7 linked regions of the Callithrix jacchus genome follow. The protein of the gene in region 1 interacts with the protein of each later gene in a pairwise test. Links are inferred from orthologs where the notes say so. Each region holds a gene or a part of one and is shown on either strand. Other genes may lie near its edges. The genes, in order: TMEM79, RNF8, CLEC7A, TNMD, RPRM, PLP2 and SFTPC.

Evidence for each region.
Region 2: the proteins of TMEM79 (region 1) and RNF8 interact in binary tests that used the Homo sapiens proteins (3 or more experiments, as listed by UniProt). The two-hybrid records come from large-scale screens. The link is inferred for Callithrix jacchus from reciprocal best matches to the Homo sapiens genes TMEM79 and RNF8.
Region 3: the proteins of TMEM79 (region 1) and CLEC7A interact in binary tests that used the Homo sapiens proteins (3 or more experiments, as listed by UniProt). The two-hybrid records come from large-scale screens. The link is inferred for Callithrix jacchus from reciprocal best matches to the Homo sapiens genes TMEM79 and CLEC7A.
Region 4: the proteins of TMEM79 (region 1) and TNMD interact in binary tests that used the Homo sapiens proteins (3 or more experiments, as listed by UniProt). The two-hybrid records come from large-scale screens. The link is inferred for Callithrix jacchus from reciprocal best matches to the Homo sapiens genes TMEM79 and TNMD.
Region 5: the proteins of TMEM79 (region 1) and RPRM interact in binary tests that used the Homo sapiens proteins (3 or more experiments, as listed by UniProt). The two-hybrid records come from large-scale screens. The link is inferred for Callithrix jacchus from reciprocal best matches to the Homo sapiens genes TMEM79 and RPRM.
Region 6: the proteins of TMEM79 (region 1) and PLP2 interact in binary tests that used the Homo sapiens proteins (3 or more experiments, as listed by UniProt). The two-hybrid records come from large-scale screens. The link is inferred for Callithrix jacchus from reciprocal best matches to the Homo sapiens genes TMEM79 and PLP2.
Region 7: the proteins of TMEM79 (region 1) and SFTPC interact in binary tests that used the Homo sapiens proteins (3 or more experiments, as listed by UniProt). The two-hybrid records come from large-scale screens. The link is inferred for Callithrix jacchus from reciprocal best matches to the Homo sapiens genes TMEM79 and SFTPC.

The regions. Positions count from the first base shown.
Region 1 is NC_133519.1:16,674,333-16,678,697, forward strand, and holds the start of TMEM79 (transmembrane protein 79), read left to right. Parts: upstream 1-1,486; 5' UTR 1,487-1,595; intron 1,596-2,153; coding exon of another isoform or gene 2,154-2,197; exon of another isoform or gene 2,198-2,308; intron 2,309-2,390; 5' UTR 2,391-2,433; coding exon 2,434-3,190; intron 3,191-3,450; coding exon 3,451-3,664; intron 3,665-4,365.
Region 2 is NC_133505.1:45,694,102-45,698,334, forward strand, and holds the start of RNF8 (E3 ubiquitin-protein ligase RNF8), read left to right. Parts: upstream 1-1,384; 5' UTR 1,385-1,485; coding exon 1,486-1,596; intron 1,597-4,233. UniProt on the Homo sapiens protein: E3 ubiquitin-protein ligase that plays a key role in DNA damage signaling via 2 distinct roles: by mediating the 'Lys-63'-linked ubiquitination of histones H2A and H2AX and promoting the recruitment of DNA repair proteins at double-strand breaks (DSBs) sites, and by catalyzing 'Lys-48'-linked ubiquitination to remove target proteins from DNA damage sites.
Region 3 is NC_133510.1:12,875,715-12,879,132, forward strand, and holds the end of CLEC7A (C-type lectin domain family 7 member A), read left to right. Parts: intron 1-1,522; coding exon 1,523-1,655; 3' UTR 1,656-2,826; downstream 2,827-3,418.
Region 4 is NC_133524.1:96,896,413-96,899,919, reverse strand, and holds the end of TNMD (tenomodulin), read right to left. Parts: intron 2,732-3,507; coding exon 2,565-2,731; intron 2,247-2,564; coding exon 2,037-2,246; 3' UTR 663-2,036; downstream 1-662. UniProt on the Homo sapiens protein: May be an angiogenesis inhibitor.
Region 5 is NC_133507.1:76,581,350-76,585,017, reverse strand, and holds RPRM (protein reprimo), read right to left. Parts: upstream 2,094-3,668; 5' UTR 1,855-2,093; coding exon 1,525-1,854; 3' UTR 639-1,524; downstream 1-638. UniProt on the Homo sapiens protein: May be involved in the regulation of p53-dependent G2 arrest of the cell cycle. Seems to induce cell cycle arrest by inhibiting CDK1 activity and nuclear translocation of the CDC2 cyclin B1 complex.
Region 6 is NC_133524.1:49,708,999-49,713,463, forward strand, and holds the start of PLP2 (proteolipid protein 2), read left to right. Parts: upstream 1-1,617; 5' UTR 1,618-1,720; coding exon 1,721-1,816; intron 1,817-2,834; coding exon 2,835-2,987; intron 2,988-3,094; coding exon 3,095-3,190; intron 3,191-4,018; coding exon 4,019-4,109; intron 4,110-4,371; coding exon 4,372-4,394; 3' UTR 4,395-4,465. UniProt on the Homo sapiens protein: May play a role in cell differentiation in the intestinal epithelium.
Region 7 is NC_133514.1:19,324,999-19,329,290, reverse strand, and holds SFTPC (surfactant protein C), read left to right. Parts: upstream 1-1,293; 5' UTR 1,294-1,325; coding exon 1,326-1,367; intron 1,368-2,106; coding exon 2,107-2,265; intron 2,266-2,611; coding exon 2,612-2,734; intron 2,735-2,958; coding exon 2,959-3,069; intron 3,070-3,422; coding exon 3,423-3,563; 3' UTR 3,564-3,573; intron 3,574-3,784; 3' UTR 3,785-3,998; downstream 3,999-4,292. UniProt on the Homo sapiens protein: Pulmonary surfactant associated proteins promote alveolar stability by lowering the surface tension at the air-liquid interface in the peripheral air spaces.

The sequences.
Region 1 (4,365 bases):
TTAGGCAACTTGGTGGTCCCCCGCTCCCAGGAGGTCACCATATTGATGCCAAACTTAATGTAGACACCCGATTGGCATAGCGCACTACAGCCCAGAACTCCTGGACTCAAGCGATCTCCAGCTTCAGCCTCCCGAGTAGCTGGGACTACAGGCAAGCGCCACCACACCCAGCACATATCTATCCCTTACCAGCCAGCAACATTTATTGAACTCCTGTCTTCCGGCCACAGTGCAGGATTCTAGGGACACAGAAGTGAGCAAGCTAGACACTATCTCTGCTCTCACAAAGCTCAAATGACTTTAGGGATAAGGTCTCATAGGAATGACATGCTACTCCCTCACATTTCTATCTCCTGATCCTCACGCTGGAAATCAGGGCAGGTGGGCTCACAGCTAGGAACATGACTGCTTTGTCTTGCTTTAGCTTAAACCTAAGTTTAAAAAGCAAGAGGTTTTTTTAGGCCAGGCCCAGTGGCTCACGCCTGTAATCCCAGCACTTTAGGAGGCCAAGGCGGGCAGATCATGAGGTCAAGAAATCAAGACCATCCTGGCCAACATGGTGAAAACCCCTCGCTACTAAAAATAATAATAAAAAAAATTAGCTGGGCGTGGTGGCACCCACCTGTAGTCCCAGCTACTAGGGAGGCTGAGGCAGGAGAATCGCTTGAACCCGAGACCCAAAGGTTGCAGTGAGCAGAGATCGTGCCACTGCACTCCAGTCTGGGTGACAGAGGGAGGCTCTGTCTCAAAAAAATAAATTAAAAGCAAGGGTTTTATGCTTTTGTTTTTTGGGTTTTTTTTTTTTTTGGCCTGTGTACACATTGTACTGAGAACATAAATTGCCCTTCCACCGCTATGCTCCTGGCTCCAGCCACCCACCTTCTTTCTGTTCCTGAAACAGCCTAAGTCTTTGCCACCCATTGGTCTCACTCACTTGCTGTTCCTCTGCCTGTAACACTCATACTCTTGATTTCCCATCAGATTTCAGCTCAAACATTACCTTACTAAAGAGGTCTTTCCTGTTAAAATTGTCAAACTGATTTAGTTGCTAGTCTTCATTATGTTACCCTAATAGAATATAAGTTTCTCAAGGGCAGAGACCTTGACTGTCATCTTGTTCTGTTCTTCTGTGTCTGCCTAGAAAAGTGCCTAGCTAATAATTGGTGTTCAATAAATATTTACTGAATGAATAAGTGTACAAATTCCATCTCTTTTCTGGGTATCCCAACCTACTCCGAGCACCCTTTGGTGCACAAATTCACTTTCTCCCTCTGCTTTCCTGAGCTGGGAGCCCTTACACATTCCAGGTGCCTAGAATGTGAACTTACCCCTTTGCCCAGATGCATCCCAACTTTCAGAAAGGATGACATCCTCCTCTAAGGCTTTTTTTGTCGGCAGATTCAGCAGGGCGGGGCCTGCCCCTTTAATCTGGGCCCCACCTGCTCTGGTCAGACAGGTTTTGAGACACAGGTAAAGGGAGGGAGACAGAGAGAAATACTTGCAGAGCCAGCAGGTAGCTGGGCAGCTCCCTCCCGGACGGACTGACAGACTGACAGACTGACGGATGGGACCCTCTACTTCACTCCACACGGAAAGTAAGAGGATGTCATGGGTCCAAACTGCAAGGTTTGGAGGACCCTTGATATGAGGGATGGAAAATCAGTCCCATCCAGAATGAGTTGGAGGGCAGCAGGGAGGGGAGAAAGACAGGAAAGAAGGCATGGTAAACAGCCATGATCGGACCTAAAAGTCGAAATAACAGACCCAGGCCCTGCGGAGATGGATGAGGTGGGCTAGTGAGGAGTTTGGGAACTGACCAAGTGCCAATGAAGAGACAGGGTGCCCTGCAACCGTCAGCTCTTTGGGACAGATTAGTTGGCAAATCACTGGTCTCACTTGGAACCCAGGAAGGTTCCAAGGAGGGATGTGTAGGGAGAAGGGGAGATGGGACAGTGGAGGGGAAGCTTCTTTTTCTACAGGAAGATCCTCGGTGGGAAGGAAACTTGGCAAAGTTCTAGACAACTCCTCTACCTCTACCTCCTATTCCTGCATTAGGGTGGTTATGACTCCAGGGGTTTTGGTGGAGGGGCATAGAAGGCGTGGGTGGGGGCTGACTGAGGTCACAGTGCCAGGGCCTGTGTCCCTTGACTCACCCTCTCCTGTTGAATGGCATTTGATGTCGAAAGGGTGCCTCCATTTCATTTCAGCTGTTCACTTCCTTCCCTCCTCCCTCTGTTTCAGCGTCTTCCTCTGTACCACGTTCTTCCTAAGGCTCCAGAAGGGGCCAAAGCCCATGAAGCCAGTTGCCCTGGAGAGTATGAGTTTTGTCAACCCATCCTAAAAACTAGAAGACCGGGGTTTCTGACAGAGCTTTCCTCTGCTCCTTGCAGGATGACATGACATTGTGGTAGATCCCAGAACTGAGGCTCCAGGATGACAGAACAGGAGCCCCTGGCCCTGCTGGAAGTGAAGAGGTCTGAGGCCCCAGAGAAGAGCTCGCCCCAGGCCTTGGTCCCCAATGGCCAGCAGCCAGAAGGGGAAGGTGGGGTCGAGTCCCCGGGAGCTGAGTCCCTCCGAGTGGGATCTTCAGCTGGGTCTCCTACAGCCATAGAGGGAGCTGAAGATGGTCTAGACAGCACAGTAAGCGAGGCTGCCACCTTGCCCTGGGGGACTGGCCCTCAGCCCAGTGCTCCGTTCCCAGATCCCCCTGGCTGGCGGGACATTGAACCGGAGCCCCCTGAGTCAGAACCACTTACTAAGCTAGAGGAGCTGACCGAAGATGATGCCAATCTGCTGCCTGAGAAAGCAGCCCGTGCCTTCGTGCCTATTGACCTACAGTGCATTGAGCGGCGACCCCAAGATGACCTTATCGTGCGCTGTGAGGCAGGCGAGGGCGAACGCCGAACCTTTGTGCCCCCCCGGGCCACCCACCCCAACTCCACTGAGTGCAAGTGGGCTGAGGCAGTGGTGAGGCCGCCTGGCCGTTCCTGTGGGGGCTGCGGAAGCTGTGGAGACCGTGAATGGCTAAGGGCCGTGGCCTCTGTGGGAGCTGCACTTCTCCTCTTTCCCTGCCTACTATATGGGGCATATGCCTTCCTGCCCTTTGATGTGCCACGGCTGCCCACCATGAGTTCCCGCCTGATCTACACACTGCGCTGCGGGGTCTTTGCCACCTTCCCCATTGTGCTGGGTGAGCCCGTGAGACAAAAGGGGGCATCGGGAAGCCCGGCATGGGGAGCAGGAGGGTTTCCCTTCACTTGGCCTGGGCCCCTCAGTGTCTCCCACCCCCCACCACTCTGCATGCCCATCTCCTCCCAGGACCACCTCCACCCCACTGTGTAAAGCCCATGGCCATGTACCACCCACAGTGAACCTGCCCCCAGCTGACCGCTTCTTGCACGCATCCCTTGCCTATTCTGACCCTACCCTGTATTTCCCAACTCCACCCAGGGATCCTGGTGTACGGGCTGAGCCTGTTATGGTTTTCTGCCCTTCGGCCCTTTGGGGAGCCACGGCGGGAGGTGGAGATCCACCGGCGATATGTGGCCCAGTCGGTCCAGCTCTTTATCCTCTACTTCTTCAACCTGGCCGTGCTTTCCACCTACCTGCCCCAGGATACCCTCAAGCTGCTCCCCCTGCTCACTGGTCTCTTTGCCATCTCCCGGTAAGTTGGGGCAGGGGGTGGGGCATGGGAGAGGGGCATCTGAATGTCTGGAGAGCCAGGGGCAGGAGCTTTCTGGATTCTACACTGGCCCAAATGTGTGCCCTAGAGAGATAAGTCCACTTTCTCTTTCGCACCTTAACTCAACTGGTAGCAGATGGTCAGCTCATATGTCTTCCATAGGAAGCTGATTTCAGAGACACATATAACTGTGTAGAACGAGAAGGCTTTCAGGTGTCATCTAGATCAATGCACCTATTACAGCCACTCCTGTGGCAATCTGGTCAGGTAGCTTTTTTGGTCTCTAGTTGAATACCCCCTGTGACCAAATGTGCAATTTAAAAAATATATATATATATTTAAAAATAGAGACAAGGTGCGGTGGCTCATGCCTATAATCTCAGCACTTTGGGAAGCTGAGGTGGCGGATCATTTGAGGTTAGAAGTTTGAGACCAGACTGGCCAACATGGTGAAACCCTGTCTCTACTACAAATACAAAAATTAGCTGGGCATTATGGTGCATGCCTGTAGTCCCAGCTACTCAGGAGGCTGAGGGAGGAGAATCGCTTGAGCCTAGGAGGTGGAGGTTGCAGTGAGCCAATATAGTGCCACTGGACTCCAGCCTGGACGACAGAGCTAGACTCCATCTCAAAAAAATAAATAAAAAGCTGGGCTTAACAGCTTACGCCTGTAATCCTAGCAC
Region 2 (4,233 bases), on another chromosome or scaffold:
AACCATGGTTGCAATACCAACCTGGAATGTTTTATCTGTGTGTCACTCTCAGATCAAGAAATGAGAAATGCCAGGTGATCAAGATGAACACCAACAGTGATAATTCATGTTGATAGCCTGTACCCTTGATATGATGCCATGAGAATGACACTTTACCTCTGTGGTCTTCCTCCTCCAAATCCATAACCCCAGTCTCATCACAAGAAAAACATCAGACAAATCCCAACTGAGGGACATTATACAAATATCTCTCTAGTACCCCTCAAATTGTCGAGGTCATCAAAACAAGGAAAGACTGACAATCTATCACAGCCAAGAGGAGTCTAAGGAGACACACAGACTAAATGTCACAGTGGTTTCCAGGTGTGCTTGCTGTTCCTGGGATAGAATGCCAAGGTGGGGTGGGGCCACCAACAGATACCTATGCACAGCTTAGGGAAGCATTTCCATGAGTGCAGCTTTGACTCCCACCTACCTTCCTGGCCCCCTCCCCTCCCCTTCCCTCCGTTCCTCCTCCTCTCCTCTCTCCTCCCCTTTCCTTCGTTCCCGCCCCTCTACCCTCTCCTCCCTTTCCCTCTGTTCCCGCCTCTCCCCTCCCTTCACCTTCCCTCCGTTCCTGGCCTCTTCCCCTCCCCTCCGCTCCCCTCCCAGACGTTCCGGGTCCCCTTGTCTCCCTCCCCTCCTCTCCCCTCCCCCCTCTTTTTTGAGACGGGGTCTCCCCAGGTTGGCCTGGTTGGTCTGGAACTCCTGAGCTCAAGCGATCCGCCCCTCTCAGCCTCCCAAAGTGCTGGGATTACAGCACTTCCATGACTTTTTAATAAATTAATTTATACACTTGTGCAACTGTCACCACAATCCACTTTTAGAACATTTCTATTACTGCTTTCCTTCCATTTCTCCAACCCCATCTGCATTAATCCCCGCTCCCACACCTCGCCCCAAGTAACTGTGCTTTCTGTCTTTGTAGATTTGCCTAGTGTAATTTATTTTTTGCTTCGGCAATATGAGGAGGTCGTGCAAAATAGAAGCTATTTAGGAACAGGCTAAGCGGACTTAAAACTGATGGAAAGTTTAAAGTTGTTTAAAAGTGGGCTATAGTTTTACATGATTTTTTTAAAAAAGAGGAAAGGTGAGGAGAGGTTCCAGTCTGGGGCGGCTAGGACTAGGTGATGGTTTGGGAGCTGGCAAAAGAAGGTGTCACGTGACGAGGAGAGCCCTCGAGCCGCGCCCGCCCCGCAGGAGTCGAGATCCGCTACCAGCCAACCCTCTCCGCCCCGGGGCGGCTGCCTTCCTCTCGCGCAGGTGCAGTGCTCCTGCTTCCGGGTCGACGGCGGGCAGGCGGAGCTTGTATTCGCATCGATGTGAGCGCGTGGCGATTGCTTCTGTCTGTTGTTTAGCTATGGAAGCTGCCTGGTTGCTGCGAGGCTGCAGGAACCCGGGTCGGGGTCTAGTTCCGTGCTGACCGCCCCCGGGGTCGAGTAGACGATGGGGGAGCCTGGCTTCTTGGTCACGGGAAACCGCGCCGGTGGTCGGAGCTGGTGCCTGCGGCGGGTGGGGATGAGCGCCGGGTGGCTGCTACTGGAAGATGGGTGTGAGGTACAAGGGAAGGCGTCCTGTGGGGCGGAGGGCAGGGGCTGGAGGGAGCGGGGCTCCGGAGAAGGAGGAAGGCGTCTAGGTGGGCGGAATGAATGGCAGAGAGGAGGCAGGCACACAGAAGACGAACGAGGGGATGGGGGGGGTGGATCCTGGGGAGAGAAGGGAGGGAGCGGTTCTGGCTCGAGCGGCTGAAGGGTCTAAGGTGGGAGGTATTTGGGGAGAAATAGGGACCGAGTGGGAGAAAGGAAGAGAAGAGAGTTCGGCTCTGGAGGGCCACAAGGATTGGGGTGAGGACGAGGCCTGGCCCGCGGGCGGTGGGGCGAGAAGAGGGCCCAGCCCAGAGAGGCCTGGGTCTGCGGGGAGTGGGGTCGGGGCCGGGAAGGAGAGGGACGCGCAGAGGATGTGAGGAGAAGCGGTGTTATAGCGGAGTGGAGGGCGGGGCCTGGCCAGATCCCATTTAGGGCGCCCGGAGCCCAGCGGTGCCGGGCCTGGGAACAGTGGATTGGAGCCGCGAGCCGCTGGGCAGCCGAGGCGGGGCCTGGAAGGGCTGCCCGGAGCTTGAACTTTCTCGAGTTTGCTTTGAAAACGAATGCGAGTTTTGGGTTTTGTCCCTTAAAGTGATCAAACTCTCAAGTAGAAATGTCTTCCTCCTTCCCACCTCTGAGGAACAGGGGCGCCTTAGGCTGGGCCGCATTTCTCCCGCGAAGCTCGGTACGTCCGAGTGGCACCCCTAAAGGAGGGATCGGGCAGGGATTCCGAGTTCTCTCCAGAGGATGCCTGTCGCCTTTGTTAATATAATTCCAAATGAAAATTTTTTAAAGGGGAAAGATGAGGCACGTTCCTGGCACGGTTCAAGATGCACTTTGAAGATGATGCATCCTCAAAGGGCGAGGGAAGGGAGGATGGAGTTAGATTGCAATCAGGTTGAGAGGAAAACTGAGTCAGGGACAAGCTGGTGATGACGGGGAACCATTTGGGTTTTGGAAATCTGTATGAAAGGTTCCCTTTGCAGTAAAAGTGGATAGTTGGTCGTGATGTTGTAAACTCAAAAAGTCTTTTGAGCCTTACGTATGTTCAGGTAGATTTTGCCTGTAAGTCATACTCCTCAATTCAGTCTGCCAGGTGTTGACAGAGTACATAACATTGGTGTACAATGAGAACACATAAAATTTGTGAGCTCAAAGAGTTTCAGGCTTAAGTGGGGAGAGAGGATTTATACAATGAAGCAGTCTAAGAACTGTATATGGGCTGTATGATCAAGTGCCAAGATATGGATTATTTAGTTCCATCCCAGAGCAGTAGTTCTTCAAGTCAGGGGAGGGATTCATGTTCAGGCTCAACTTTAGTTGCTAGATTAGAGAGGGTTATAAAGGGTTACTTGTATGTCGTGATTTCGGGAACATGAAGAAAACACCTCTGCCCCCAAATACCTCTTCTATCCAGGTGTTAGTGCCCAAAAGTCCACATTAGGCATTCATTCCTTTAGCTTGAGCACTGACCTTTCCCTGCCTGGCCCTTTCCAACAGTATATGTTTCTGAGAAGTTTAACAAATTAAAACACCAACACCTGAGTAATAACCTGAACAGTACACACAAAATAAATTATTTTTATGTATAACTGTTACTTAATACATTATTGAATGTGATCCCTGCATACACACAACCTTGTAAGTTAACTTAGTGGGCAGGTGTTACTCCTTTAGATTCCGTTGTTGTGGATTAATTTATGACTTCTGAATAGCTTGGTAGGACTGCAGCCTTGGGCAAGTGGGATGGGGAGGAAGGATTAAAGCACCTGCAGGAAGGGCAAGAAGACTATAAAGCACTCTTAGACATATTCTACACATTTTGATCGTTTTGTGTCAGGGCCACTTCTATGGGGAGAGACCCATACAAACTGAGTGAATGATGACACAGTGTTAAGACTGGCTGGCTTCAGGGACCTGTGTGGAGGAGAGGCCTGCAAGGTCAGGTCATGGCATAGCCTGAAAAGAAATCTGAGTCAAAGGCAAGAGAAGTTGTAGTTATTGTAATGGTCCCCAAATCATAGGACAAGCTGTTTTGCACAAGATTTTAGGAGGTATACTAATAACATTGTAACAGCAAAGTAGGTCAGTTCCCTGCCTTTCCTGTTCTTAGTCTCAGATGTTGCAGATAAAATAATAAAACAGAGTTCCCTTCATTTCATTGATGGGAATACTGTAGTAAATCGGTTGTCTAAATAAGTGGCTTTAAGCTTGTTAAAGCAATGCATGGAGTTTGGTGGAAAAACAATTAGAGATTTATTGCAAATTAGCTAGTTCTCAGGTACTATAAAGAATCTTTGCCTTTGAGGAAACCAACAGAACCTTTCTCCCCTTTTATTCTCTTGTATTTAGTTTTCATGAAGTTTTCTGCCCCAAGGGAAAGGATGGTTATATTTACTGGTTTGGGGCTTTTTGTTTTGTGGTGCTTTTTTTTTTTTTTTTTTTGACAGAATATTCCATCACCCAGGCTGGAGTGCAGTGGTGTGATCACACCTCCACCTCCTGGGTTCAAGGATTCTTCTGCCTCAGTCTTCCAAGTAGCTGGAAGTAGCTGGAATAGTAGGAATTACAAATGTGCACCGCTATCCCTGGCTAATTTTTGTATTTCCAG
Region 3 (3,418 bases), on another chromosome or scaffold:
CTATTAAAGGTCTATATTTTTTATTTTGTTTGGTGACATTTTCAGTTCTATAATTTTAGTATGGTTTTTTTCTCAAATCTATTTTTTCAACACTTATACTTCCATTTTCCTTCCAGCATTCTCAGTACTGTCTTTTAACTCTTAGAATACACTAACCATAGTTGTTTTAGCATGTGTCTGAATGTCCTGTATATATCTGTCTATATGTAATTCCAATGTCCTATATGTATATATGTCTCTGTCTCTCTCTCTCTCTTTCTTTTTACTACTTTTCATTTGTGTTGACTAGTTTTCTTTTATGTCAGATTGCTTTTTATAGGGTGTTTAACACTGTATCTTAAAATCTTTGCAGAATTAATTCGAAGTGTTTTTTCATTTGCCTCTGTTCTCACCACAGAGTCTGTTCACCCAATGGTGTGAATGGTACCGACTGCTGAGTATAATCACTTAACTGTTTTACTTCTACTAGGCCAAGTACAGTGAATGTATTAACAAACAATCGGCCAAATGTATTTTCTACTTTTTTATAGAACTTGTTTGTCTTGAGTTTTCTTTTGCTGTTTTAAACATATGGCTAGAGGACTCTTTCTATAATCACAAGCGTGGGCCCAAGTTAACGTTTTGTTTGATATGTTAGTACTCTGTGGTTTTCTTGGTGGCATTTATTTAATCCAGCCCCAAAACACTTAGATGTCAAGGAAAAATTTTTAAAAATAATGCTGATCAGCGTTCTCCCTGAGGTATAAACTAAGTAGTTAATCCTAGTCTTAGTCATCTCTAGAGCAAAGGTTTCTCAGTCTTCCAACCTCAGCGTCAAGAAGAAGAGATAGATACCCAAGACAAAGAGCGCCAAGTCATAGCTTTTGCACTGAGGTGCAGTGATCCTCTTTGAGCTTGACTAATTAACACTGCTCCTTCAGGATTTTGAAGACCAAATTGAATAGGACAGTGCTTCCATTTACCAATGTTGATTACCATAACTGTCAAGCATTGTATTGTGATATAATTCTGCTTTCAGGATAAATTAAAATAAACAAGAGTTGTTTGCCCTTCCTTTAAATGACCTGATTTAAAGGCATCTATGATTCTTTTTTTTAGTTCTTGATTCCTTTCAGCATTAATACTTCTGCTTGGTCTACTCACTAAGTATATTCAATAATAGTTTCACTGAGCTGTTGCTTGATTTGATAAAGAAACATCTAAGTAATAGGTTGAAAGATATATAAAGAACTTTTAATAGAATATTAAATGATTTTTCTTCTTTGCCAGGATCTTTTTTAAGTTTATGCAACTAGTCTTATTTCTTGAATAAAAAAATTGTGTCATTTTTCTGCCTTAAGAATGGAGACTATTCATTTAACCACTTGAGATTAAAAACAATTTAGATTTAAACCCCTTTTTCCAATAATATAAACACTTCGGAACTCTTTTCACCAATATCCTTACTAATTTATTTGAGTGCCATGTGGACAGTATTCCTTAACATTTGTTCTAATTACATCATTGTATTCTATTTTAACAGATTTCAGATCAGAACCACAGCTACCCAAGAAAACTCATCTCTCAATTGTGTATGGATTCATGTGTCAATCATTTATGATCAATTGTGTAGTGTGCCCTCATATAGTATTTGTGAGAAGAAGTTTGCAATGTAAGGGATAGGGTAGAGGAGGAGGGAAGAAATACGTGAGCTAGTAAGGAGGACAGAAAACAGAACAGAAAAGAGTAACAGCAGAAGTCAAAATAAATGCAGAAAATGTTCAGAGAGCTTGGCAAACTGTAATCGTACCCAAGAAATTGAAAGGGGAGGCTGTGGTTTCTGTATTTGTTGACCTACACATAGGCCAGTATTATTGTTCTAGTTAGTAGATCTCTAGACATGGAGTCAGGGCAGTCAAGCTTGAATTTCTTTTCTTTTCTTTCTTTTTTTTTTTTTTTTTTTTTTTTGATAGAATCTCACTTTGTTACTCAGGCTGGAGTGCAATGGCGCGATCTTGGTTCACTGCAGCCATCTCCTCACCTCAGCTCCCCCGAGGTAGCTGGGACTACAGGTGCATGTCACCATGCCTGGCTAACTTTTGGTATTTTTTGTAGAGACTGGGTTTTGCCATGTTGACCAGGCTAGTCTCCAACCCCTGGGCTCAAGTGATTGCCTGCCTTGGCCTTCCAAAGTGCCGGGATTACAGATGTAAGCCATCACGCCTTGCCCCAAGCCTGAAGTTTCATTTTGCCATTGACTTGGTATTTACCTGGGATAAACCATAAGATAATCTTAATTCCCGGCTCTATTAGAGTTGTTTTTGTACTCAAATATGCCATTGAAGTGCATGGTTTGTTGCCACAATTTGTCCCTTAACTTCTAGCAGTATGGAAACTGCTCTCAAAGGAAAGTTTTCTGCTTTTTAAACGCTAGCAACCAAAAAATACACAAAGTCTGTTGATGAATATAAAAAAGTAATCAATCTAATTGGAACAAGCATTAACATTTTGTAATATGAAACATGCTTTATTAGTTTCCTGATGTACTGTTTTATAATTTTTATCATTTTTTTCAGTAACTACTGCAAAAAGGTATTATTGGAATGAAACTATATTTCCTCATGTGCTGATTTGTCTCTTTTCTTTTTTTTCATACTTTCCCACTGGTGCTATTTTTATTTCCAGTGGATATTTCTATATTACTGGGGAGGCATTTGCAGCCCTCTAATGTCAATTAATATGTGAAAAGAAATTGTACAAATTTCACTAAATTATTCACTTTAAAATGGCTGATTTTATGTTATGTGGATTTCATCTCAATAAAAAAAGAAAACTCTTATCAAAAAACCCCTAGCCTCTAAATTATGTGCCCATGTGTCACAATCACTATCACGATTTGCCTTCTCCCCAAAAAATGAATTTGGTGTGGGTGGAGGGAATATTTATAGTAGATATTTTGATATTAAAGCATTAATTAGAGTTCTTAAAAATTTTTTAAATCTAAGAGAAGATGAAGATTTTTGTGAGGTTTACTACTGTTTAATATGCAAATTTATATTGTCATTATTTAAAAATATGTAGAAAGGGATGAGACAGATAGGTGCAGCAAGCCAGCATGGCACACGTATACCCATGTAACAAACCTGCACATTCTGCATGTATATCTCAGAACTTAAAGTAAAATAAAAAAAATAGTTGTACTATATAATAAACATAAGAAAAAGAAAGGGAAAAAATGACATAAGAAAAAACTTTCAATGTCAAAAACCACAATAACTTTTGCACCAGCTTCATACTATCTTTCTTGTATATATCTGCCTTTCTCCATAGAATATAGTCTCTAAAAGAACAGACAGCTTTGGTGTACATGGGTGTACACAACAGTCTGTGACTAGTACTTGCCATATAGCCAATAGTCAAAAATATTCTTGTTATTGTT
Region 4 (3,507 bases), on another chromosome or scaffold:
TCAAGAATGGAAAACCAAACATTGTATTTCTCAGGGATATGTGGAAGATAAGCTATGAGGACACAAAGGCATGATACAATGGACTTTGGGGATTTGGGGGAAAGGGTGGGGGTGTGAAGGAATAAAAAACCATAAATAGGGTGCAGTGTGTACTGCTTGAGTGCTCACAAATCACCACTAAAGAACTTACTCATGTAACCAAATACCTCCTGTATCCCAATAACCTATGGAAAAATAAAACAAATAGAAAAAAATAAATAAAATTATTGGCTGATCTAAGAAAGCAATGTTAAAAATGAGTAGTCTTATTAAAAAAAAACTATAGAAACATCATGAAGTTCATATAACCTCAAAGTAATTTCATATCTTTTACATTTTACTATTTAAACTATAAATTAATGCTTGTTATGATCATCAAAGTACTCTAAAACAATCAGATTTCTTCTAAATCATTAATTAGAAATATTTTCAGTAACGTGCATTGTTAGATATATTTTATTGTGCTCTCATTCTGTGAAAATTGGTAATCCAAGTATGGCATGTTTGCTAATTACCAATTAATGACTGGCTCATCTTAACTCAACCTTGGGCAAAGCCGTTTCTATAAATTTCCTCAACTCTTAAATGGGAGAAAATGACTCCTGGCCCACAGGCATCTTGGTGAAGATTTTATTTGAAAATACTTTTCTGATAGAAAATTCCAGACAGACATTTTCATGATACAATAACTTTGAAGTTGAGCAATGAAGAATGCTACCTTCAAATGAAACTAGAAGGGGTGACAGATTGGTAGAGCATGAATTTTGAAACTGGAACTGGCTGGGACATCAAGGTTAACCTTAGCTTTTAACCACTTCTTTTCCTTTCCCCTTTGCTCCCTTTTCCTTTCCAAGCAAAGTATAAAGTGATTGGGAACTAGGCCTTACCTTTTCGTTAAGAAAGTGGTATATTGCAGGTTCTTTGTGGTTTGGGAAGAAAATCCCATTTGATTTCTCACCTCAGTAATTTCCTATGATGTCTGTTTCTGTGAATAATATTCATGGGTTTTTGTTTTTTAGACAACTGCCTTAGGAAGGTATCTAATCAGACACTGATCTAAAGAGAAGCCAGATGCAAAGGCTATGGAATGTTGAATTTGTCCTAAGTTGAGTTCCTGTTTATAGGAGAGCCCGAGACCCTTTTTGCTAGTTTAGCTTTCTCCTTTGCTGAGTCTGCACATTTGGAATATTTTAGTGTTGGCCTGCTGTGACTCACTGCCTGTCCAGCAGCTTAATTGATACTTAAGCAAGTTCACAATATGTCTTTTATATAATTAAACACTGGGGCTATGCACAAAAGGATATGTTTTTAATGCATCAGTTATGGAGACATTTTATCATCAGCCCCTTATTTCCACTGTCTTAACACAGCAGAGTACAATATGGTATTTAAGTATCTTTATGCTTTGACCTTTTCTACTTCCAAACCTGATGGATCCTCTCTGGGAAGGGAGTCTTATTACCTACAGCCAAACAAGATAGGTCAGATAATTTCCTTATGGCCAGCTTTTACACAGAAAAGTGGAGGGAAAATCAGAGTAATATTTTTAGGTTTAACGGCTGGCTTTAGACAAAAGGGATTCTGGTTTCTATGACACGCCTTGAGGAAGAGGGATTCTAGTTTCTATGGCTAGCCTTGGGAGAGAATGGGACTGAGAGACTGGTAGGCAGAAGGTCAGAGCAAAAGTTTTGCTTCTGAGGCCTTCATTTTGGGGCATTGTTTTCTGAGCCTCAACATAGTCATCCATGTTAGACAGGTCAGCTCCATTTTAATTGCTGGGAATATTCTCAGCAAACACTTACCCAGTGTGTTCAGCAGCAATCAGGCTGTTGGTGATAATGTAGAAGTTTATTAGAACATGAAGAGAGGAATTACCTACAAGTAATTCTGGAGAGCTGGCTACCAGGAGCCAAATGCCTCATAGGCAGAAATTCATTGAATAGCATGCATTTATTATATATTGCCAGCAGTTTAAGCATTTGAGCTCAAACCTCCTATTAGACCCTCCCCAGCATGCGAGCCACCCACCAGTTGCAAGGCATGATGACACGACAGATGACCCGTCCTCCTTGGTAGCAGTATGGATATGGGTAGTAACCTAGTAAAGGTTCACAGACGCGGCGGCAGTAGCGGTTGCCTCGACGGCAGTAAATACAGCAATAACCTCTCTCATCCAGCATGGGATCAAACTCTATTCCATTTTCAGTCTGAAAGAAGAAGAAGCCAGTGTTGGGGGTGGGAGAGGAAGGTTCACTAGCAAGAGTTCTCACCGAGCAGGGGAGAACTAGAAGACTGTATGAGTTGGGGGCTTGTGTGAAATTAAGCTCCTTAGCCTGATCATGGAGATATATCTACAGAGATCAAGACTGATTTTGAATGAGCCTCCTGGAGAGTCCAAGTTTCTTAAACATTTTTTGTTAAAGCCATGCTCATTCTCCTTCCAATGACTATGATCTGAGGGGTAGTAAGTTTTGTGAGGGCTCTTTTTTTCTCCTCTATCAAGAGTTTACATAAACATAACTCACATAGTCATTTATCGGAAGTTCTTCTTCACTTGCTTGTCTGGCGTGACGGGTCTTCTCTACCTTTACCTGAGGGACCACCCACTGTTCATTTTGTTCAATCCCTTTCTTTTCATTGGCAGGAAAGTGAAGATCTTCTCCGTCCTCCTCAAAGTCTTGTAACTCAGAAACTAAGATAATAAATGCAAAGTTGTGATGCAACTGCTTTGCAAATGTTCCTGAAAGAAGCGCTTGGGGGAATAGCAGCTGGGGAGAGAGATTTTCATCATTGTGTCTTCAAACTGGCATCATTTAGGCACGGACCACTTTTCCAAGCTCCTTCAGCTGATATTTTAGAGTAGTTTCCAAAACAAGTCTGATCATTTATACATACACAGACTTCTTTGCTTCTTTGGCATCAAACATTTACTGCGTTGCCTTACTAGCATACTAAATTAAAAACTGAGGACAGGGGACTTCTGTATCTCCTACAATGATGACTTTACCCATGATAGATGCTCAATAAATATTTCTTGCTTGCCTGAATTGATTTGACATCCTCCCACTTCCCTTATGTTTCTTGTCTTATTTATTTATTTATTTTTTTACTTTTTGTTTAGAAATAATCTTAGATTTATGGAAGATTTGCAGAAGTGGTACAGAGTTCACATATTCTTAAGGCAGTTTCCCCTAATGTTGTCTTATATAACTGTGGTACAATGATAAAAAATCAGGAGTTAGCATTGGTACAAGGTTATTAACTAAACTACAGACTTTATTCTGATTTCATTCGTATTTCTACTAATGTGCTTTTTATGTTCTAGCATCCAGTCCAGGATACCACACTGCATTTAGTCTCCTTTCTTATATCTCCAAAGAGAACCCACAGATGCTTAAATTGGTGGGAATAACCTCTCTTGGGTAATAGAGTAGTCTATGTTGTGCAGAATGAAGGAGGCCAAATTCC
Region 5 (3,668 bases), on another chromosome or scaffold:
CGGCAGACTCAATTACAAAGAGCAGGCTGAATCTTTTAATCTGGTCTTTTTGTTAGAAAAAGTAATAGGGCATCGACAATAATGCATCTCATGTTTTAGTAACAATGGTTTACCCCAGGGAGTATTAACATCACTAACGTCACTGTGTACCTTAGCATCTACTTTTCCTCGCATTTTATAATGTCTTCCCCTACCATGGGCAGCATCCCAGAGCCGCCTAGCTGACGTTAGTTAGGGTAGAGACTCTCTCCCTAAAGGCTGGCCAAGCCGTCTCTTCCTTTCATTAGCGGTGTAATCCTGTTCCCGCCGGAGCCTGGCACGGAAGTGTAATCTTCCCGCGGGGGCCCTGCTGTCGTCTAGCCTACCTGAGAGCTGAGACCAAATGAAATATAAAATATTAACGATAAGAGAAAACAAAGGATGCTGCTTCCAGGACGACTCCTGTGCCTGAGTCTGGGGTCTGTCTCACTCATCCCTGGGCCTCTCCGTCTGGCCCAGACCTTCGCCCCTCCACGGGATCCACAAGTTGAATCGCAGCTCTCCAAGGTGAACTGCTCTGGCCGAGAGCCAGACTCCTCACCGCCGCCCGGTTTTCCCTGCTGGGGAGCGCAGAATGACCACCAGGAGGCCAGGAACCAAACGCTTAAATGTTGCATTTATTAAGGAAATGTTAAATAAGAAAAAAACAAAAAGTCAAAACTGTGTCACGGATGTCAAGAGCACTTTTGTGGCGTAAACCGTGCAGTCACGAGCTACGAGTTCTATTTTAGGTCTTTGTCCTAGGGCCAGCAGGAACGCCAGGCACCTCCCAAAAGACCCAGTGGGAAATGCACTAAAAGAAACAACGCACCCCGTTCAAATTCGCAGGCTTCCCCTCCCCCCACCCTTTTCCCACAATGACAAAACTCTAACCCCTCAGGCAGGCAAACAGGCCACGGGGGCAGAAAAAGACTCATCAAATATTTGTATTCAAGCAAACAAACACAGAACCTTTTAAAACGGCACGTTACAATCAAAGGTATTTATCGCCTCTCCCCTCCAGGGAGGGAGAAGAGTGAGAGCGCATCCCGACACGGATTTGTGCGACCCCATCATGTCTGCTGCGTGGTTTTTAACAGGTCATTTTTCCGGTCACAAGGCGATCAGTGCCTCTGGTTTCTCCCCTGCCCGCCCTCTCCACCTGCCCCCAGAGCTTGGCCCACCTGCGGGTGGAAAAGGACCTTCGCCCCGTCGGTCTCCCCGCATTCCAAGCAAGTAGCAGCTTCCAAAGTTCTGCGCCCTAATCACCCTCTTCTTGTCACTTTCTGCTGAGTCCAGAAGTCTGGGCGCTCTCCTCCGACAGCCAGGCATGAGGACTTTCAGAGGGCGAGGGAGAAACCGGTCGCTTCTCTCAGAAAGGCGGAAGTCAAGAGAAATAATCGACTCCGACAGGTTTGCTTCGCCCAGTCTCTGATGGAGAGGGGCACAGCCGGGCTGGCAAAGTGGGCAGGCGTGGGAGCGATTGCCGCGGGGGCGGAGGGCGGGTCAGTAAGGCCCCACGACCACCGCCTCCACCTCCTTAGACGGTCTCCTTTCCTTCACGAGGAAGTTGATCATGCCCTCGGACTTGATGAGCAGATTGCAGCCGAGGAAGAAGATGCCGAAGACCACGGTGAGCGACAGCACGCACATGACGGCGATCTGCACCACGCGCATGATGTACAGGCTGCGCTCGTCCGGGCCTCCCTCGGCGAAGCCGTCGTCGGTCACCACCGACGCCTGGGTGCAGCAGCGCATGGCGCGCTCCAGCGCCTCGCTGCTGTTGGCCAGGAACAGGCCCGCCACGTCGGTCTGGTTGCCCAGGGCCAGATTCATCGCAGGAGCCGGTGGGCGCCGCGGATCCGAGGGGTGAGAAGGAACCGGCGCTGTAGGAACAGGTGCCGGGCTGAGCGCTCACTCGCAGACTTGCGCGCGCGAGGGCTCTTCGCTCTGCTTTCGAAAGTCCTGGACCGTGGGAGTTTCTCAGGAGCCTCTCCGACGCGCGCAGCTGCTGGGCTCTTCTAACGCCGTCCGCTCCAGCCCAGGCGGTGCTCGTTCCCGGCGCTTGCTCGACTGGGGGCTGTTGGAACTTGGCGGGGCTGGGCCAGCCCCGCCGTGGGAGGTGCGGGCGCGGCGGCTGCAGCGGCGGGGCGGCTGCACTGAGCGAACAGCGGCCCCTTCCGGCCGCACCGCTGCGCTGCGCGCTGCTCTCGGGCGGTGGAGGAAGCAAAGGGGCGAACCTGGTCTTCCTTTTTATTGCTTGCTTCTTTTGCAAACTCTAAAGGCCAGGCAGAGGTCACAGTACTATTCCGGCTTGATGGATGATTAAATAGTTTGGGGGGGGGGTGCGGTCAGCTGAAAGTTTCAGAGGAACTGGGACACACCAGCTCTGCGTGTCCTTTGCTGCTGCCCCCCTGCCCTCTGGGCGGATGGAAAGTGGCGATAAATTGCAGGTGCCAGATGGTACCGGCCGAGGCCACCCGCCCGCCGCCTGCTCTTGACTCCATCTCGCCTGAGTTGGATTTCTAGTGTAGTGGGTGTGATCTGAGAATGTTTCTTACAAAGTAATGAATTTGGCAAGACAGAAAGGCATGGAAGAAGGCAGAAACGAAGGAAGGAAAAGTAAAAAGGAAGGGAGGGAGAAAGAAGAGCTCTACACCCAACCTCCTTTATAAAAACGATTGGGAGACAGTGCAAAGCAGGTTTTCTCGTGAGGTTTGAGGCCAAGGGAAGGGGGTTAGAGGAAGGAGGAGTTACTCTGTGGCCCTTGGGTGGAGGTGGTTGCCGGGAGCAGGGTCACCTCTCTAGTAAAGGAGGTGAACAGAGTGACCACTTGCTTGTAATTTTAATTGCAGATGAGTGTTTGGATGTACTTCCAGTATTTTGACCGCTGGCAGTAAATCAGTTGTTTAAGGGAATTGCTCACCAACATCCATCATCTAGAACGCTGGCCAAATGCTGGGAACCCTCCGCATTTTCCATAAGCTGATGCATTTAGCCCTTAGTCATTTTAAACTAAAAACAGATGTTTTTATGGGCCTGGTCGAAGTTCCAGCCATTGTGATTTTACTGTAGGTTTCAATGAAATTGTATAAACCTGTCAGATTTTCTTAACTCTTAAAGAATACTGCATGTTCCCACGCCTTCTTTTTTATTTTCTTTCCCATCCCTCTTCTTCCCCATTACTCCCTGCCTTCCTCCCTCTTTATTTCAACTGTAACAGCTGAAAACCAGTAACTTGAACTTTTGATGGCATACTCTTACTTTCTATTAAATGTTCTCACCACAAAGAATCAATAAAAATTTGAGATAATAGCTATGCTACTCCGATTTAATCATTCCACAATGTATATGTGTATCAAAATATCACTTTGTACCTCATAAATATGTACAATTATTTATCAATTAAAATTAAAATGAAACTAGAAAACAGTAGCTGTCTTGCCATTTTAACTCTATTCTTAATTTCATTCTGTTTGCTTCATAAGTCCTCTTATTTCTGTCTCTTAAAACATCATTTATTCCATCTTCAGAGTGTTGCTTAAATGTTTTTGCTCTGCTTCATGACTATCATAAAATAGAACTAAATGCCTTCTGGTTGAGTTTTCAATCTTTTGATGTTTATTGTATATTAGTTGCAATAAGTTTGA
Region 6 (4,465 bases), on another chromosome or scaffold:
TCAGAACCAGGAAACTGAGGCCCAACATTTAAGGCCAGGACTTCCTGGACTTCCTTGGGATTGCAGAGCACAGAATCAGACCCTGGTCTCTAACACTATTACAAAAAAATATTTTTTAAATAGAGACAAGCTCTCACTACATTGTCCAGGCTGGTCTCAAACTCGAGCTGAAGTGATTCTCCCACCTTGGCCTCCCAAAGTGTTAGGATCACAGGTGTGAGCCACTGCTCCTGGCCTTGGGCTCTAACATTAGAAACAAGGCTTGCCCTATTTCTTATCAGCTCAGTGCTCACCAAGCCCTGTTCTCACACAGCCTTTACACGGGTGGGTTCTTATTCCCATCACTGCTCAGAGGTTTATTCCACTGTCCACAATCCATTATCCAAAATTCTGGAGAACAAAAAGCTCTGGAAACTGGTGGTTTTCTGACAAGTTAGGCACTATTTGGTTACAAAACTTGACCTGATCTAATGAGGAACACTTTTCTTTCTTTGTTTTTCCTTTTTTGGAAACAGGATATTGCTCTGTTGCCCAGGTAGGAGTGTAGTGGCATGATCATGGGTTCACTGCAGCCTCGAACTCCCGGGCTCAAGCAATCCTGCCACCTCAGCGTCCGGAGTAGTTGGGATTACAGGCACGTGCCTAGACTAATTTTTTAAATTATCTGTAGAGACGATTATGTTCCCAAGATTGATCTCAAACTCCTGGGCTCAAGCAATCCTTCCACCTGAGCCTCTCAGAGTGCTGGGATTACAGGCATGAGCCACCGCGCTTGGCTGAGGAACACTCTTCAATCCTTACTTAACCAGTTATTGTGAACTTTCATGCTTTTTCTTGAATAAATACTGTTTTTATTATTTTATTTTATTTTATTTTATTGAGACAGAGTTTCACTCTTGTTACCCAGGCTGGACTGCAATGGCGCGATATCGGCTCACCTCAACCTCCGCTTCTTGGGTTCAGGCAATTCTCCTGCCTCAGCCTTCTGAGTAGCTGGGATTACAGGCACGCGCCACCATGCCCGGCTAATTTTTTTTTTTTTTTGTATTTTTAGTAGAGACGGGGTTTCACCATGTTGACCAGGATGGTCTCGATCTCTTGACCTCGTGATCCGCCCGCCTTGGCCTCCCAAAGTGCTGGGATTACAGGCGTGAGCCACCGCGCCCGGCTTTTTAAAATTTTTTTAACGCGTCAGCTCCAAACCCCGGCTGAGAGTATATGCACCGGAAGACTCCGAAATCAAAAATGTTCTGAATTCTGGCAACGTACTGCGCCCCAAGTCTTTCGGATTTAACTCTGCCTCGGCCGTTTTATTCAGTTAAGGAAACTGAGTCACTCCCTCCCAAAGGCAGATTCCCGTGGTTCTAAGTTGAAGCTGTCTCGGGTGCATTTGCATTCCAAAAAGGCTAAGGGTCCCGCTATTACTGCTCATGATACCTGGAGCTGCCGCGCATCCCGCCAGTGGGGCGCCCTGGGGGCTGTGCGTCAGGCTGGGAGTATCCTTGGCGGGCGGGGCGAGGGGGCTTCCGGGGCGGCAGCCACCTGGCCCGGCCCCCTCCTGCCCCGCCCTCGTCAGCTCTGCGCGGTGATTCACTCCCTCCTTCGCCCCGGGGCCCCCTTCCCGGCCAGACGGCGGGCAAGACGGCTGGGTGTGCGGCGTCCTCGAACCCACGAGCAAAAGAGAAGATCCTTCGAGGGCCCAGGGACTCCAGCCCATGCCATGGCGGATTCTGAGCGCCTCTCGGCCCCCGGCTGCTGGGCCGCCTGCACTAACTTCTCGCGCACCCGAAAGGGAATCCTCCTGTTTGCTGAGATTGTGAGCGTCCTGGGGCAGGCGCGTGGGCAAAAGCGGGATGGGGTGGCTGGACCACGCGGAACCGGATGGTCCGGGTGAGGCGGGCACATGGCCGGGGCGCTTGGCAGTAAGGTGCAGGTGGGTGGGTTCACGGTGGAGGCCCGAAACCCGGGGCGCACGGCGAGTCGGTGGGGTTTGGAAAAGAAGGTAGTTGAGATCTAGTGGCCCCGGGGTGAGGCAAGGAGCCTATAACTCATACGGAGGGCTGCGTAGGGGGAGCCTGTGTGGACTCATCAGTGGACGCATCGAAGGGGTCCTGGGGTGCTGGGAAGTGGGGGCCTCCTGCGGCAGGGCGTGGCGCGGCCTGGGCACCGGAGGGCGGGCTGGCAGCGCGCCCAGGGGCAGGGCCTGTTGGGGTGGGGCCCCCCGCGCTAGTCCCGCGGTGTAGAGCGCCCCACCCTTTGCCAGTTCTTCCTCGCCCTTCTGAGGCCGGGCGGGATGTCCTTAGCTTTTCGGGGTTTCCACCCTCCTCAAAGTGGGCGCTGCCTTTGAGTCACTTGTAAAAGGGGTGCGGTGCCTTTAACGGAGTCCCGCCTCTCTGGTGTCACTCTCACCACTTCCCAAAGGGGTTGCTGGGGGAACCGCGTGTCCCGCCTAGGTCAAGGCCACAAAGCCGGCGTCACCGGGGCTCGCAAAACACCTGGCAGCTCCACTCCCCTCAGGCTGCCCATATCCTAGAAGGAAAAGGGGGAGGGAACTGAGGCACCCAAGTCTACTCCTTACTTGCTGGGTGACCTGGGCAAGCCATTAAACCTCTCTGTGCCTCAGTTTTCTCATCTATCAATTAGAGTAATAATAGTACCCAGCATGAGATTGTGGTGATGATTAAGTGAATTTGGAACACAATGAGCACACAAAAAGTGTTTAGCTATTATTATATGTCATTTCCCCAGCCCTGGTAGGCATACGAATATGGGACCCCCAATTTAAACGGATCGCCTCAGCCCTTAGGTCTCCTTTCCCATGTTCCCTTTTCTAGATATTATGCCTGGTGATCCTGATCTGCTTCAGTGCCTCCACACCAGGCTACTCCTCCCTGTCCGTGGTTGAGATGATCCTTGCTGCTATTTTCTTTGTTGTCTACATGTGTGACCTGCACAGCAAGATACCATTCATCAACTGGCCCTGGAGTGTGAGAAGGGGTCAACAATGGCAAGGCCAGGGAGGGGTCTGGGCAATTAGGATTGTCTGGGGAACTCTGGAAGCTGACTCCCCTCTTCTCCTCCCTACACTTCACAGGATTTCTTCCGAACCCTCATAGCTGCGATCCTCTACCTGATCACCTCCATTGTTGTCCTCGTTGAGAGAGGAAACCACTCCAAAATCGTCGCAGGGGTAAAGGTCATGGGAGCAGCTCTGAAGCACAGAGGGAAGGGTTTGAGGAATCAGCCAGGGGCCATTTCTGTCCGTGCTTCTAGCAGAAAGCCTGTGATCCATAGCAAGTCACATTTGTCCTCAGGGCATGCATGTCCCAGGCCTTGGTTTTACCTCCCAAGGTCTTCATTTGCTGTGAAGGCGGTCCCTTGTCAGACACAAGGACCTTGGTGGGAAGTACAATCAGGTGACCCCTTTGTCAATGCACTAGACTACCATCTGCAAGAACTTTTTCCCAAATGTAGTAGGAATTGGGGCCGGGCAGGGTGGCTCATGCCTGTATTCCCAGCACTTTGGGAGGCTGAGGCCAAGGCAGGTGAATCATTGAGGTCAGGAGTTTGAGAACAGCCTGGCCAACATGGTGAAACCCAGTCTCTTCTAAAAATGCAAAAATTAGCCGGGCATGGTGGTGGGTGCCTGTAGTCCCAACTACTAAGGAGACTGAGGCAGGAGAATCACTTGAACCCAGGAGACAAAGGTTGCAGTGAGCTGACATCATGCCACTGTATTCCAGCCTGGGTGACAGTGCGACTGTTTCTCAAAAAAAAAAAAAAGTAGTATAAATTGTGTGTGCTACGTGTAGGACCACAGTGTGACCTCCCTGTGTTGAAGCATAAGGAGGAGGGAGGGTGGGGTAAGATGCCTCCACTGGGGTTCTTTGGCTTCCCAACCTCGGGCTTCAGTCCCATCTGCATGGGGCAGGTGCTGGAGGTGGTGAATACAAGAAGATAAGAGACTGAGTAACCTGACAACCTAATCTAACCCCCCGACTCTGATCCTGTCCCCCAGGTACTGGGCCTAATCGCTACATGTCTCTTTGGCTATGATGCCTATGTTACCTTCCCCTTTCGGCAGCCAAGACATACAGCAGCCCCCACTGGTAAGTGTGTGTGTGTGTGTGTGTGTGTGTGTGTTGGTGGGGGGCAAGGGGGTTGCTGAGAGGGCAGAGGAGAGAAGGAAAGCAATCTCTTAAAGACATGAATGCCAACTCTGTCCAGTGTTGGTACTTATGGGCTTTTGTACCAATAGGTATCATAATCTTCAGTATTCTTGTGCATAAAATGTTCATGGACTTTGGATCTTGTTTTTAAAAATGGGCATATAGATTCAGCCAATGCTTTCTCTCTTTTCCTCACCTGCAGACCCCGCAGATGGCCCAGCGTAGGTGAACTCCCCTCATTTCTCTCTGAAGTCTGCAAATAACTCCTCCATTGAAATACTCCTCTCCATCCCCAC
Region 7 (4,292 bases), on another chromosome or scaffold:
GCATGTACTTGCAGTCCCAGCTACTCGGGAGGCTGAGGTGGCAGGATCACCAGAGTCCAGGAGGTCAAGGCTGCAGTGAGCAGTGATCTTGCTACTGCACACCCGCCTGGGTAATAAAGTGAGACCCTGTCTCAAAAAAAAAAAGAAAGGAGGTTAAGAGAGCAAGGCCTAAAGAGGGAGGCGTGGACTCTGCCTCAGTCACCTGAGTTGGGAGGTGAAGGGACTTCAGAGACCACCTGGCCCAAAGAGTGAAAGGGAGCTGAGAGGAAGGGTGAGTCAGCCCAAAGTCATGGGCAGATGTGGCCTTATGAATACGCAGAGATGGCTTTGGGGAAAGCAGTACGAGAGAACGGAGAAGGAGACTGTCCCAAAAGTTGATCATATTTGGGTGAGTAGCATTCTCACAGCAAATTTAGGATCAGAGGATGTAGAAAGGGAGTCTAGAGGGGTGGGGTGTAGACCACAGGGTGAGTGGCTGATTCGAGGATAAGGAGACTGGGAGCCCACCAGTGACCAGAGCCAGCCCTGTGTAGGGCTGTCCAGGTGGAAGAAAACAGTGTCAGACCTGGAATCTGCTATCAGCACAGTCTGCAATTGACAGACATGCCCACAGCAAAGAAGGAAGCACTGCACATGAGTAAGAGCTTGCCACCAGCGGGGACAGAGTTTCCAGAATTAGGAAAATAATGACTGGGGGCAAGTTTGAGGTTGTTACTAGATGTGTGGGAGGAGGCAAGGTGAGAGAAAGAGTGCTTGAAGTGGGAATTCGGCCCTTGCAGGGAAATATACATTTATGAAATACCCAAAACTGACATCAAAGCACCTCCTGCCTTCAGCGAGTCCCCTCAGAATCTACAGGCACTGTCTCCAGAACCCGCCTCCGGGAGCACATCCCTAGTCATGGAGAAATTCTTTTGGGAAATGTGATGGTCAAACCCTTGGCCACCCGAGAGGTTCAGGCTGACAGAAGAACAAGGAAAGCCACAGGGGCAGGTGCCAGCAAGGAAGGCAGGCATGCCAACAAGATACCCACAGTGAGAGGTGCAGATGCCCCAAGGGCAAGTTTGCTCAGCTAACCCAGGTTTGCTCTTGCTGGGGCTAAGAGGACTCATGTGCCAGGGCCAAGGGCCCTTGGGGGCTCTCACAGCTGGCTTATCTGGGCTTTGGTTCTGGAGGGTCAGGAACAAACAGGCTTCAAAGCCAAGGTCTTGGCTGGCACACAGGGGGCCTGGTCCTTCACCTCTGTCCTCTCTCCCTACCGACACATATAAGGCCCTGGTCACACCTGGAGGAGGAGGAGAGGAGAGCATAGCGCCTGCGATAAGATGGATGTGGGCAGCAAAGAGGTCCTGATGGAGAGCCCGCCGGTGAGAGAGAGCAGAGAGAGAGAGAGAGAGAGAAAGAGAGAGAGAGAGAGAGAGAGAGAGAGAGAGAGAGAGAGAGAAAGAGAGAGCGAGAGAGAGAGAGAGAGAGAGAGAGAGTGTGTGTGTGTGTGTGTGTGTGTGTGTGTGTGTGTGTGATGGGCCCTGCCTCCTCTAACTTCCCTGCCCTGTTTCCTTATCCAGATCCACTCACACAACTAACGTAGGGCTGTGATAAGTCAGCATGGGGACACCAAGACCACTAAGCCAGAGACCCTTGGGAAGCAGTTCATGGGCCGAGAGCCACTATAGGGGTTGATGGAAAGGGCTGTTTGTAGACAGCCCCAAGCAAGAAGTCATGAAATACACCAGAGGTCAGGGGATACTTCACAAAGGAAATGTCACTCCTACTTAATGGGGGTGATCACTTGGGGAACAGAGAGGGGCTGGCCATGGCTGGGATGCCAGAGGGCTGGGGTAAGCGCAGGAAGAGACAGGTGAAGCAGGCTCTCTGGGGTCCCTCAAAACTAGACCCTGCTTCTCAGCTTCTGTGTGTCTGTGTGTTTGGTAGAATCCAGGCCTTCTCCTTCAAGAAGCCTCCTCTAATCTCAGCCCTTCCCTGCCCATCTGTCACATCAGCTATCCAGCCCTAGGTGGCCATAGGAGGGTGTCCAGCTTGTGCAGGGAGAGGAGGGGATACCCTCATGACCTCACGCCGGTCTCCCTGCCTGCCCCACCCTGTCAGGACTACTCCGTAGCTCCCCGGGGCCGATTTGGCATCCCCTGCTGCCCGGTGCACCTGAAACGCCTTCTCATCGTGGTGGTGGTGGTGGTCCTTGTCGTCGTGGTGATTGTGGGAGCCCTGCTCATGGGTCTCCACATGAGCCAGAAACACACGGAGATGGTGAGAGGTGTGGGATGGGGCAGCAGTGGGGCACAGGACATGCCAGACAGAGGGGCTGGGTGGGATGGGCGTTAGGAAAGTGTCCAAGGGGAGTGGAGGGGAGGCAAGGGGCACAGCTAGAAGGAAAGAGGCAGGAACCAGGTGGCAACCCAGCCCAGGCTTTTCCACAAGGCCCCTGTCCTGCAGCAGGACAGCTGACTCCCTCCATCACCTGGTTCCACTCAGCCTCCCTGAGCTCTCGGGAAAGAGGGAAGCACATCTGAGTACAGAGGTCTCAGTATGTGGATTGGTACTGCAGGCTGATTAGGAAAGGGGAAGACCAGGCAGATCTGTGCGCTTTTCCCAGGTCCTGGAGATGAGCATTGGGGCCCCGGAAGCCCAGCAACGCCTGGCCCTGAGTGAGCATCTGGGTACCACTGCCACCTTCTCCATCGGCTCCACAGGCCTCGTGGTCTATGACTACCAGCGGGTGGGTATGCCGGGACCTCCTGACCCTGGGATTAATGACAAGACTCTGCTAGAGCCACCCAGCTAGGCCACTTCACATCCATCTGTCCCCTCCTCCAGCCCTTTTTGCCTGAACCCCTCCTAGTATGACTCCTGTGCTTAACCTAGACAGATCTGGCTAAGGATCTGGATCAGGGAGGGAGCAGGGCAGGAACCCCCGAATGATCGCCAGCATTCTGTGTCCAGCTCCTGATCACCTACAAGCCAGCCCCTGGCACCTGCTGCTACATCATGAAGATTGCTCCGGAGAGCATCCCCAGTCTGGAGGCTCTCACTAGAAAAGTCCAGAACTTCCAGGTATGTGTGTGAGTGAAAGGAGTGGGCTGTCTCCCTGCCAGGCCTGCTGGGAGGAGTGTCTGAATGGTGGCTATTTGTCGTCTGTAAAGTACCGTTCCTCGTGGGCTGTGGACTGACTATGCCTCTCCATACTCCCCTGCACGACTCCTTTCCTACCCACCCTGCTGCCAAGCTGCTGGGCTCAGGTGAGCCCACTCACCACCTGGGGGCTTCTGACTCCAGCACAGTCCCCCTTTCCTGGTGAGGAAACAGAGGCTCAGAGAGATTGCCTGACATGCCTGAAGTATGACAATCCGGGCTGCACATGGGATAGAAACTCACTTCCCAGATTCCAAATGGAATGCTTTCTGCAGGCCAAGCCCGAAATGCCAACCTCTAAGCTGGGCCAGGAGGAGGGGCGTGATGCAGGCTCAGCACCCTCCAGAGGGGACTCCGGCTTCCTGGGCATGGCTGTGAGCACCCTGTGTGGCGAGGTGCCGCTCTACTACATCTAGAACGCTTCAGGTGAGCAGGTGTGATCCCAGGGACCCTGATGAGCAGCGGAGGAGCCCTCGGGCCACCTGCGCTGAGCAGTGGAGGAGCGCTCAGGCTGACCAGGCGCTGGGGCGTCCACTGAAGCCTGGTCATTCAGGGAGCTCAGGGGAGGGGAGGCTCATACCCGTATTTCCCACTACCGGGAACCTCTGTCCAACCTCAACGTTCCTTTGCTTCACAGGGTCAGTGGAAGCCCCAAGGGGACAGGAAACGCCCAGAGAAAAGGGTCTTTTGCAACTTTTGCAGACGGGCAAGAAGCTGCTTCTGCCCACACCGCGGGGACAGGCCCTGGAGAAATGGGAATTTGGGGAGAGGATGGGAGTGGGCGGAGGTGGCGCCCAGGGGCCGGGGAACTCCTGCCACAACAGAATAAAGCAGCCTAATTGAAAAGCAAAGGGTCTGCTTCCATCTTCCCGCAGGACGCAGTGCTGCCCCGGCGGCGGCCGGCCAGAAAGGGAAGGGACTTGAGGGAGCAGAGAGGGGTTTGCCATTCTTCCTCTGTCTCAGGGCACTGAAGGACTGGGTCCACCCCGGCGGGGTAGAGGGACTTGCCGGGAGCCATCCACGGGCTTTCGGCGCCCTCCAGCGGCGTCTCGGGAGGAGGGAGAGACGCCGAGACAGCGAGAGAGAGCGCAAAGAGCGAGACGCGAGAGAGCGAGGGTCCGAGAAGGGGAGCGAGGGAGACGCGG